Linked DNA regions of Schizosaccharomyces pombe. Changing the gene in region 1 together with any one later gene gives a genetic interaction. Each region holds a gene or a part of one and is shown in the gene's direction. Other genes may lie near its edges. The genes, in order: cdc14, dnt1 and clp1.

What was found.
Region 2: of cdc14 (region 1) and dnt1, a mutation in one rescues a mutant of the other (synthetic rescue), as found in Schizosaccharomyces pombe (2 studies listed by BioGRID).
Region 3: mutations in cdc14 (region 1) and clp1 are lethal when combined (synthetic lethality), as found in Schizosaccharomyces pombe (2 studies listed by BioGRID, with this or other methods).

What each region holds. Positions count from the first base shown.
Region 1 is NC_003423.3:2,329,936-2,333,771, forward strand, and holds the start of cdc14 (SIN component Cdc14), read left to right. Parts: upstream 1-2,190; 5' UTR 2,191-2,334; coding exon 2,335-3,057; 3' UTR 3,058-3,238; coding exon of another isoform or gene 3,239-3,836. Other genes in the region: gpa1 (G-protein alpha subunit), read left to right, coding at 403-1,626; folliculin bhd1, read right to left, coding at 3,239-3,836. UniProt on the Schizosaccharomyces pombe protein: Has a role in the septation initiation network (SIN) required for cytokinesis.
Region 2 is NC_003423.3:3,714,938-3,718,773, reverse strand, and holds dnt1 (nucleolar protein Dnt1), read left to right. Parts: upstream 1-1,555; 5' UTR 1,556-1,722; coding exon 1,723-1,865; exon of another isoform or gene 1,866-1,917; coding exon 1,918-3,574; 3' UTR 3,575-3,829; downstream 3,830-3,836. Other genes in the region: MCM complex subunit Mcm7, read left to right, coding at 1-1,136. UniProt on the Schizosaccharomyces pombe protein: Negatively regulates the septation initiation network (SIN) pathway, independently of the cdc14 phosphatase clp1. May also have a role in silencing rDNA transcription. Required for maintaining the exclusive nucleolus localization of nuc1.
Region 3 is NC_003424.3:4,769,707-4,773,306, reverse strand, and holds clp1 (Cdc14 family protein phosphatase Clp1), read left to right. Parts: upstream 1-1,590; 5' UTR 1,591-1,647; coding exon 1,648-1,696; exon of another isoform or gene 1,697-1,751; coding exon 1,752-3,316; downstream 3,317-3,600. Other genes in the region: box H/ACA snoRNP complex subunit Nhp2, read left to right, coding at 161-625. UniProt on the Schizosaccharomyces pombe protein: Protein phosphatase which antagonizes mitotic cyclin-dependent kinase cdc2, the inactivation of which is essential for exit from mitosis. To access its substrates, is released from nucleolar sequestration during mitosis.

The sequences.
Region 1 (3,836 bases):
CTTGATTTAATTTCATCTAATACCTTATCGCAACCGTGATAGTATAATAAATTTGACTGTTTACGAATACCAAAGTTTGTTTGTGTCATTACACGATTTTTCTCAAAGAATCCTCCTGGTTTTTTTAACCAAATTGTTTAAATAATAGTTTCTTTTTACTATATAATAGTATTCTTTTGGATCTCTTGGAATTATCTGGCAATTGGGTTTTTTGCTTATAGTTGGGTCCACTTCACAAATATTTGAGATTTAACGACATCTATTATTTCTTTTTTAATCCAAAAATCCTTATTTATCACCTTTTCTGCTGTTTTTACAGAAAATTGCGGAGATTAACTTTCTTTGTCTCGACTTTGAATTATCTCCTTGTGGGGATTTGGAATCTGTAGCTGCCTTTTCACCATGGGATGCATGTCGAGTAAATACGCTGATACATCAGGAGGAGAAGTCATTCAAAAGAAGCTTTCAGATACGCAAACCTCAAACAGCTCTACAACTGGAAGTCAAAACGCTCGAGTTCCAGTCCTTGAAAACTGGCTTAATATCGTCCTGCGTGGAAAACCACAAAATGTGGAAAGTTCTGGAGTACGCGTAAAAGGAAATTCTACTTCAGGTGGAAATGACATTAAAGTTTTGCTCTTAGGCGCCGGTGATAGTGGGAAAACGACCATTATGAAGCAGATGAGATTATTGTATAGCCCCGGTTTTAGTCAAGTAGTTAGAAAGCAGTATCGAGTGATGATTTTTGAAAATATCATCTCCTCTCTATGTCTTCTTCTTGAAGCTATGGATAATAGTAATGTCTCTTTACTTCCGGAAAATGAGAAGTATCGGGCAGTTATCCTAAGAAAACACACTTCTCAACCCAATGAGCCATTTTCTCCAGAAATATATGAAGCTGTTCATGCCTTGACATTGGATACCAAACTTCGTACGGTGCAAAGTTGTGGTACCAACCTCTCTTTGTTAGACAATTTTTATTACTATCAAGATCACATTGATCGAATTTTTGACCCACAATATATACCTTCTGATCAAGATATCCTTCACTGTCGTATCAAGACGACCGGTATATCAGAAGAAACATTTCTGTTAAATCGTCATCATTACCGATTTTTTGATGTAGGAGGACAGAGATCAGAGCGCAGAAAATGGATTCATTGCTTTGAAAATGTCACTGCATTGTTGTTTCTCGTTTCTTTGGCAGGTTACGATCAATGCCTTGTAGAGGACAATTCAGGAAATCAGATGCAGGAGGCGTTATTATTATGGGATTCCATATGTAACTCTAGCTGGTTTTCAGAATCAGCAATGATACTTTTTCTAAATAAACTTGATTTATTTAAAAGAAAGGTTCACATTTCCCCCATCCAGAAGCATTTTCCTGATTACCAAGAAGTTGGTTCAACACCAACATTCGTACAAACTCAATGCCCTCTTGCCGACAACGCAGTTCGAAGCGGTATGTATTACTTTTACTTAAAGTTTGAAAGTCTTAATCGCATCGCTTCTCGTAGTTGCTATTGCCATTTTACCACAGCTACAGACACTAGTTTGCTCCAAAGGGTAATGGTATCCGTTCAAGATACGATTATGTCCAACAATCTACAGTCACTTATGTTTTAGATGAATTTTTCCTTAACTATCTTCATAATCTTTTCTGTCTCATTTCTCTACTTTCATTCGCACTCTAGGAAAAGCCTCTATACTTTTCCGTGAATGGTGTCTCTAGTTAATTTCCTTGCATTTTGTATGCACTTCATGTGTTATTTCTCCATCGAAACTGTTAATTAGTGCATTCTAATTGTTTTATTTCATAGCTTCTTCGAAGCTTCGTGTAATCTTATATTGTTTTAAATAGCTCAAAATTAACTGCAGTTTTTGTTATTTGATAATTTTACGATTAATACATAACTATTGTTTAATTTAATATCTAAATTTTTTCATGTCAACCGTTTGAGACAAACTAAACCCATTGATATTAATATAATTAAATTAGGCGGATTTGATCGTAAACTAAATATAAATCTATAAGGACTCGATGTTGCTTGTTTTGTTATTTTAGGCCCCTTTTTCAAATATGGCTCCAATTCGCCTGTTAATATTCAATTGTATCCTATCTTAGCAAGCTGGTGTTTTCTCTCCCAAAACCTCAAGTTTTAGAAAATAGCAATTTAATGTAGCTGCTTCAACACTCCACCCTACTATTTATATCATTACTAAGAACGAATATAGAGTCTCTTTTTTATCTTTAACTAAACGAAGATTCAATTTACTTTTATTTATAATAAGGATTTTTATTGCCCGCTTGGCATGAGTAAATAATGATCCGGTATGGAAGATCTATTAAACAATGCTAAACAGCATTTGTGTATGAGGAATCCAAAGCTAATTCGAATTGGTTTGCGTCAAGTCGAATCTATTGTATATCATGTTGCGAAACCTAGTCATGATGATAAAATTCCAAGAGAAATTTTCCTAAAATTACAGGATTCACCATTGTATAATTCTACTACCCCTTGCATTTACGCTTTGGACAGTCTCCTTGAATATCAGCAGAATGAAGAGGCATACGAAAAAAACTTTCAATTCATTCAAAAGCTAATTGATGACTTACTGCATGTGATTGAAGGATTGGTTTTAATCCATCCAAAATCACAGACGTTATTTGAAGATAAAGCTACCTTAAGGTTATTTATTCATTTATTACAGCCATCTCAGCCATCTATGTTGCAAGTGGCTGCAATGAAAACGCTTGTATGTATCATGGCAGATCGTCCACTGGCTATTAGGCTTTTTGAGCAGATTAATGGCTTGCAGCAGATATGCGTAGTTTTTAAGCACAAACAAACAAGTCAGGACACCCGATTTCAAATTCTCGAATTTTTCTATTTCTATTTATCCCCTGAACCATATTCTATAGATGTCATTGCCTACAGGAAAACGCGGACTGAGAAACAAGCTTACCTATCCAAATATCTTTCTAACGTACAAGGGCTTCGAGATGATTTAGATAAGTTTCAACCATTTGGCAAGTTAGACGAAACATTCGACTAGTTAGATGCAATGCCTGGTGCAAAAAAATGTTTAAAGTCTCATTGTTAACTTATTTTTGAAAATTTAGTATTCATTTACTAAAGAATTTCTAATGTTAATGTTAAATTATTAATCGATCATCTTACTATTGAAAGTATTCCAGCATCCTATAGCATTTGTAAAAAGTCAACCAGTTTTACTTTCATACTACTAAGAGATCCCAAACCTCCAGAATCCAGCTAAACGAACTGTGAAGACCGACAAAGATTCCGTCCCAACATGTGATATCAACTAAACTGCGTCCCTCCCCAATATCGTCTCGACGACGCAAAAAACTGAAAGAAGGAAGTCTTTGTGTGTGGGCCAAAGATGACACATTTGCACCGATACTAGAGGATATCTCATACGAAGGAGCAGTTCCTATATTTGAAGAACCCGATAACGAAGAAATGTTAAAACTGGGGGATGCAAACGTTCCATTGCTAGAGGAGGCTGTTGTTTTTGAACGGGAGGAGGAGTAGTCATTCTTTGTATTGAAAGAAGAAATCCTTAGAAACTGGACTATATGAAGAAACTTTTCAGAAATAAAACTATATCGCAAAATCAAATCTAACTGATTTGGACAAGTAGCAATAATCGCATATCTTCGAAGTCCTCCCCGGGCAGAGGGATCTCTTAAAGAAAAAGACTGACTAATAACGTAACCGTTATCTTGGTCTCCAAAGAACAAAGGATTTGACATAGAATCGGAAGCTTCAGATAGTGTTGAATATTCACAGCTCAAGCAGCGAACCATTAAT
Region 2 (3,836 bases), 1.4 Mb from region 1:
TTACTAAAGAGTTAGGGGATGGAATGAGAATTCGTGGTGACATAAATATTTGTTTAACTGGTGATCCTGGTGTCGCAAAATCTCAATTATTAAAGTATATTTCGAAGGTTGCCCCGAGAGGAGTATACACCACAGGTCGTGGATCTTCAGGTGTTGGTTTAACTGCTGCTGTAATGCGTGATCCAGTGACGGATGAAATGGTTTTAGAGGGAGGTGCCTTAGTACTTGCTGACAACGGTATTTGCTGCATTGACGAATTTGATAAGATGGATGAAAGTGACCGTACAGCAATTCATGAAGTAATGGAACAGCAAACTATTTCAATTTCAAAGGCAGGAATCACTACGACTTTAAATGCTCGAACAAGTATTTTGGCCGCTGCGAACCCCTTATATGGACGATATAATCCGAAAGTGGCACCAATCCACAATATAAATCTTCCAGCTGCACTGCTTTCCCGGTTTGATATTTTATTTTTAATTTTAGATACTCCTTCTCGTGAAACAGACGAGCATTTGGCACAACACGTAACATATGTTCACATGCATAACGAACAACCTAAAATGGACTTTGAACCATTAGATCCAAACATGATTAGGCATTATATTTCTTCTGCTAGACAATATCGCCCAGTCGTACCAAAGGATGTATGCGACTATGTTACTGGTGCTTATGTTCAACTTCGACAAAACCAAAAGCGTGATGAAGCCAATGAGCGTCAATTCGCTCACACTACTCCACGTACACTTCTCGCTATTTTGCGAATGGGACAAGCATTAGCTCGTTTGCGTTTCAGTAATAGAGTGGAGATTGGCGATGTTGATGAAGCTTTGAGATTAATGTCTGTTTCAAAGTCATCACTATACGATGATTTGGATCCTAGTTCTCACGATACTACTATTACCTCGAAAATATATAAAATTATTCGAGACATGCTTAATAGCATACCAGATGTTGAAGGCAATGAACGCTCACTTACACTACGTGCTATTCGTGAACGCGTACTTGCTAAGGGTTTTACTGAAGATCATTTAATAAATACAATACAGGAATATACAGACCTTGGTGTTCTTTTAACTACAAACAATGGTCAAACAATAATGTTCCTCGATCCGGATTTACATATGGAGAATTAACAATTTACTAATAGATAACTCCTATCATTTAATTTTTCTGCCAATTAATTGCTTTAAGCTAATTTACAACCTATAGAAATTATTCTGAGACGTCAAACTACTTTTCTGTTGAATATTCTTTAATTCTGACTAATACATCTGTCGTTCTTTTAATCTATGATAGTTTATTTACTTGTATTCAAATGTTAATTCACGCAATTGAAAGGAAGATATATTAAGCCAATATGTTTCGTTAGATTTGGAAGGACCATAAAACCTTAAGATACGTGTCAATATGCTCGAGTCGTAGGAATGAGTAATGAGTTTTTATTTCTTGACATTTAGCATTATTTTACACCTTTAACTTGTTCATCACTGCTGTCCCACCCTTCCTGCTGTCATGCCGAGTAAATTGCGAATAGAACTTTACGCACTTCCTTAGAGCAACCAACTTTGGATACCCATTGGTGTCAAGAAATGGGCATTCCATTTTAAATAACTTACTTTGTTTTAACGTCTTTTTAATACTGATTAATTCCATTATAACTAGTTTGCCGGATCCACTTCTCCGTAAGAATCAAATAAAGAAATTTGCTGAATATTCGAAATGAGAACTACATTAAGGCTTCATATAATCAAAGATGGTGAACAAGATAATCAATTTATGATTCTGTTTGACCCATCTTCTTCAATTTCTTTATTAAAAGAAAAAGTGCAGGAAACTTACAAATCACTTTATCCTTTTGAATCGTAAGCATAGCAGCATGCTCCATCTTTCTACTATTAACGAAAATTATTATAGAAATATAAACATAAGAAATATAAAAAATGAAGAAAGCTACGACATTCCTAATGAGTACTTAGTCGGTGAAATCTTTCCCACTAATTCCAAGGTCATTGTCGAATCATTCTCTTCTCCGTTGAAGAAATTAGATGGGACTATGATAAACTTCAAAGAAAAAAATATTCAACATGATTTAGATGGCGTTGAAAATGATTTCGCTACTGTCCAAAGTGCATCTAATGGTGTTCATGCAATCAATGGGAAGCGTACGCATCCGGATGAGAGTGAAAACCCTCGAAAACTACCAAAAAAAAATTTTGTAGAGGCAATTGATGCGAACTCTCCTGGATTTGTATACAGACCAACTAGTATTCGCGATCGAGCATACTCAATTTCTTCAAATCATGATAATGAAAGTACATTAACCGAAGGGATTGCTTTAAAAGAAATTGAAAGTCCAGATAAAGATAGAAAGGCTGACGGTATAGTTAATTTATCAGTTACTCAGGAGGAAGATGATAATCACCAATCCTTCAATAGTTCCTTAACACCAAGTCAACCAACAACTTATAATCGAGCTAACTTTTTTTCAATTAACGATGCGTCTTCTGATTCATCGTCAGATGCTCCCTTGCGAACTTTATCATCGCCTTCCCGTCTTCGCATGAAAGATAATGATAGAAAATATTTAGTCGAACATTCTCCTGCCGCATTAATTAAAGAAAGTGAAACCATTGATGGAATTGATGATAAATCATTGCGTTCTTCTACTCGAGAAGTTTCTGTTGAAAGCCCAAATGAAGATTCAGTCAATGATGACAGTTCATCAGATGTATCCGATGAAAAAGAAACGGAGGCAAAGCATGAAATTAGAGCTCCTGCAATAATAGTTAGAGAAACTTCATCTCATCCATCCACTGCCGTTCCTTCCGAAAACGATACCACCGAATCGGAGAACGATACCCTTTCTGAATCCTCTACGACCTCTATATCTTCTTCCCCGTCCGAAAATTCAGATACTAGTGATGATTTAACGAAGGTTGATAGCCCGAATAAATCTCTGGTTAATGATAACGTTTCAGCTAAGCATGATAAAGAAAGTGAGAATGGTAAAAGCAAATTTCCCCCTCCTTCCCAGACCCTTGTTACTACATCGACGATATCTGCAGCGGGAAATGAACCTTCTGATGAGATTGGTTCTGAAAATGATTCAGATTCGGATTCAGACTCGGACTCCTCTGTTCCTTTAAGTCAACTACAGAAGAAATCACAACAACGAAATTCTGTATCTCACGAGATACAGAATAGAGGAACCAAAGGATCCCCGAAGGAACCTAAAGCTAAGCCTTCTACGGAAAGACCGGAGACTCATAGGACATTGTCTTACTCACGTCTTTCAGAATTGTCTAAAACGTTTTCTCCTGAAATTAGAGAACCTTCTCTTACGAAGAAGACCGCGGTCAGTATGCAGGAATCAAAAGAAGAAGGGCGTTCTGATGAATCTTCTGAAAGTGAAGAGTCAGGGAGTTCTTCAGATGAAAGCGACAATTCGGAGAAGGAAGATAGATCCAATCCTATTCCCGTTGAGAAAAGAGCAAGTACTGTACTAAATACAAAGAAAAAGAGGAAAGCCAAAAGAAACAGTGCTTTGGCTGGCTTGGCGGCCCTAGTGTAAATTTCTTGTTTTTGATTAACTCCCTTTACGCTCGTTTTTTTTTTTTTTTTCATCATAAGTCCAATAGCAAAAGAATTCTGTAATAGCGTTGTTGTGCTATCATATTGCGTATATAATAAATTTAGTTTTCTTGGCTTTCTGCATAATTTTGACTTATTAATAAAATTACATGTTAATTAGCTAGCAAAACTTGATTTAACTTTGATGCTGATAAAAAGATGTTGAAATTCTAAATGGAACGTTCTTTAATGTCCATTAAGTT
Region 3 (3,600 bases), on another chromosome or scaffold:
ATTATGTCAATTTAAGGAATATTACCAAAGCTGGTATCTTAAAATTACGTATTATACAGATGGCTTAACAGACTATTATCCGCTACATAGCGTTACTGAAAAAAGTTTTATTGGGATCATCTTTTGGGCTTCCAAACTTATCCTTCTCCATTTCTTTATCATGGCAAAAGATAAAAAAGACCATAAGCATAGTGGAAGCACCGAAGATGAGTATGATTCATATCTTCCTGCTTTAATGCCAATTGCTAAGCCTTTAGCTCCTAAAAAATTGAACAAAAAAATGATGAAGACTGTCAAGAAGGCTTCGAAGCAGAAACACATCCTTCGTGGGGTCAAAGAGGTTGTAAAGGCTGTTAGAAAAGGAGAGAAGGGTCTTGTAATTCTTGCTGGTGATATTTCTCCCATGGATGTTATATCTCATATTCCAGTATTATGTGAAGACAATAATGTCCCTTACTTATATACTGTTTCCAAAGAGTTGCTTGGTGAAGCATCAAACACCAAGAGACCTACTAGCTGTGTTATGATTGTTCCCGGTGGAAAAAAGAAGGACATGTCTAAAGTTGAGGAGTACAAGGAAAGCTACGAGGAAATTATAAAAGAAGTACCTGCTCTTGAAGTTTAATTGTTCAATATCTAAAAGATGCTTAGCCATTTAATGTAGATTATTATATACTATTAAAATTTGGTATTTATCCTGGGATTTAACTTTTGGTATATCATGTCTGTTTGCTTGATAGTAAGCGAAAAGAAGTTTTGCTTAATGGTCGGTTTTAAGGTTTCAAAAAATTTCCTTTTTAATCTAGTGTTTTATCATTCTTTCTTATGCCCTAGTATTTTATGGGTTTAGACTGGTTTGCGAGCAAACTAATCACTATACCTCCAAAACTTTGTTAGCAATAATATCGTATCATTTACCAACTTATATGAGAATGGTATATCGCTGTAACAGCGATGAAATATCAACTGATTTTTCCTCAAATTTCGTTTACGCTGATCGTTTCATTACGGATTTAGCCTGTGTTTATTTCTAACTAGTTGCGCAAAAAAGTTTTATTATTCGTTTAGGTTGCTATTTAGTATTCAGAGGCGGCGTGTTAGAACCAGTTTACAACTAACTTAAATTTCACCCAACGTCGTTCTTACCATTATAATGTTTACAAATATTATGCTTTCCAGTGCTATCCATAAATGATAGATTAGGGTAGCTTTAAAGGTCCGGCAATTATATGGTTATCTATCCGGATTTTGTTATCGGATTTAAATATATTTGCTAAAACAAATCGAATTTCAGATAAAAAAGTTGGGTTGTATTTGTATGAGCAAAAAGTATTCTGTATGTTTATCATAAATTGATGTGCATTTTTACTTACTTTGTAAGATAATGATTATTGTTGTTTATTTACTATAGTGTTGCTAAAAGTTAATGTCTTTTTTTTTTTAATAAAGAGAAAAGATTAAATGTCAACATAACGTTGTGTATAGTTTAGAATCCACTTTTGTCTTCATTTGTTTCGCACCCCACATATTTTCTTGTGCATTATCATCCCTTCTATTTACAAGGACCACCAACACCCAGGTACACAATTTAGAACTCAACCATTACGGGTTTGACGAATATAGACGAGATTCGCAATTACTTGTCTGATGGATTACCAAGATGATGGGCTTGGTGAAATGATTGAGTTTTTGGAGGGTATGCATGAAGTTTAACTCAAATATCTCGTAAAATTGATTAACATGTTAAATAGACAAGTTATACTACACATCATTGTCGCAACCACCTAAAGCCGAGTTATATCCTCATATGCATTTTTTTACTATCGATGATGAATTGATCTACAACCCTTTTTATCATGACTTTGGTCCGCTGAACGTGAGTCATCTTATTAGATTTGCAGTGATAGTTCATGGTATCATGGGAAAACACAGACAAGCTAAGAAAAGCAAGGCTATAGTTTTATATTCTTCTACAGATACAAGGTTGCGTGCAAATGCCGCTTGTTTGTTAGCTTGCTACATGGTGTTAGTACAAAACTGGCCTCCACATCTCGCATTAGCCCCTTTAGCTCAGGCAGAACCTCCTTTTTTGGGGTTTAGAGATGCGGGATATGCTGTTTCAGATTACTATATCACGATTCAAGATTGTGTTTACGGACTGTGGAGAGCACGAGAGAGCAGCATACTAAATATACGTAATATCGATGTTCATGACTATGAAACTTATGAAAGAGTGGAGAATGGAGATTTTAATTGGATATCTCCTAAGTTTATAGCATTTGCAAGTCCTATTCAGGCTGGTTGGAATCATGCGAGCACACGTCCAAAGAAACTTCCTCAACCGTTTGCGATAGTTCTCGATTATTTCGTCGCTAATAAGGTCAAACTGATAGTTAGGCTTAATGGACCTCTTTACGATAAAAAGACTTTTGAAAATGTTGGAATTCGACATAAAGAGATGTATTTTGAGGATGGCACAGTTCCAGAGCTTTCTCTTGTCAAAGAGTTTATTGACCTTACCGAGGAAGTAGAAGAAGACGGTGTGATTGCTGTTCATTGCAAAGCAGGGCTCGGACGTACTGGATGCTTAATTGGCGCATATTTAATATACAAACATTGTTTTACTGCTAATGAAGTTATTGCTTACATGAGAATAATGCGTCCTGGAATGGTTGTAGGTCCACAACAGCATTGGTTACATATTAATCAAGTTCATTTCCGTGCATATTTTTACGAAAAGGCGATGGGAAGAGCAATCCAACAGGCCACCGCTGCGGAACCCTTAGCTACTCCTCCTCGCCATCCATTGAATGCTACGAATGGTACCTCTCAAAGCAATATCAGTACTCCTCTTCCAGAACCAACGCCTGGCCAACCGAGAAAAGTTTCTGGACATAATCCACCGTCGGCGAGACGTCTCCCTTCAGCGTCCTCTGTCAAATTTAATGAGAAACTTAAAAATGCTTCCAAGCAATCAATCCAAAATGAGAACAAAGCGTCATACAGTAGTTACGAAGATTCAGAAATACAAAATGATGATGAAACACGGACTGTTGGAACTCCAACTGAAACAATTTCAGTGGTTCGCTTGCGTCGCTCATCAAGTCAAAGCAATATCGAACCAAATGGAGTTCGTTCTCCGACATCCTCACCAACTGGTAGTCCAATTCGACGTACAAGTGGAAATAGGTGGTCTAGTGGGTCTAGTCATTCTAAAAAAAGTGCTCAGCGAAGTGTTAGCATGTCATCACTTAACAATACTTCTAATGGCCGTGTTGCTAAACCTAAGCCTTCTAAAAGCCGGCTAATTTCTTAATAAACCTGTAATTACTGGTTTAAATGGCAGTTTTTACATTCCTTTTTTTCATATAAACTAACTTTGAATTATACTGTGTCAACCCTGCATAATTTTTCATTAATTAACTTTACAAATATTCCCTGATTTAGCGCACCTTTGCGCGGTGGGGATCACCACCATTAATGTCTTAGCTATCCTTTTTGTTAACTAACATTCATATTTCTTTGGAAAAAACTTTGGCTTTTTGCAAGCCATGGTTAATGATTTTAATCGAGAAATTGTTTTGGTTATGATATAAAAAG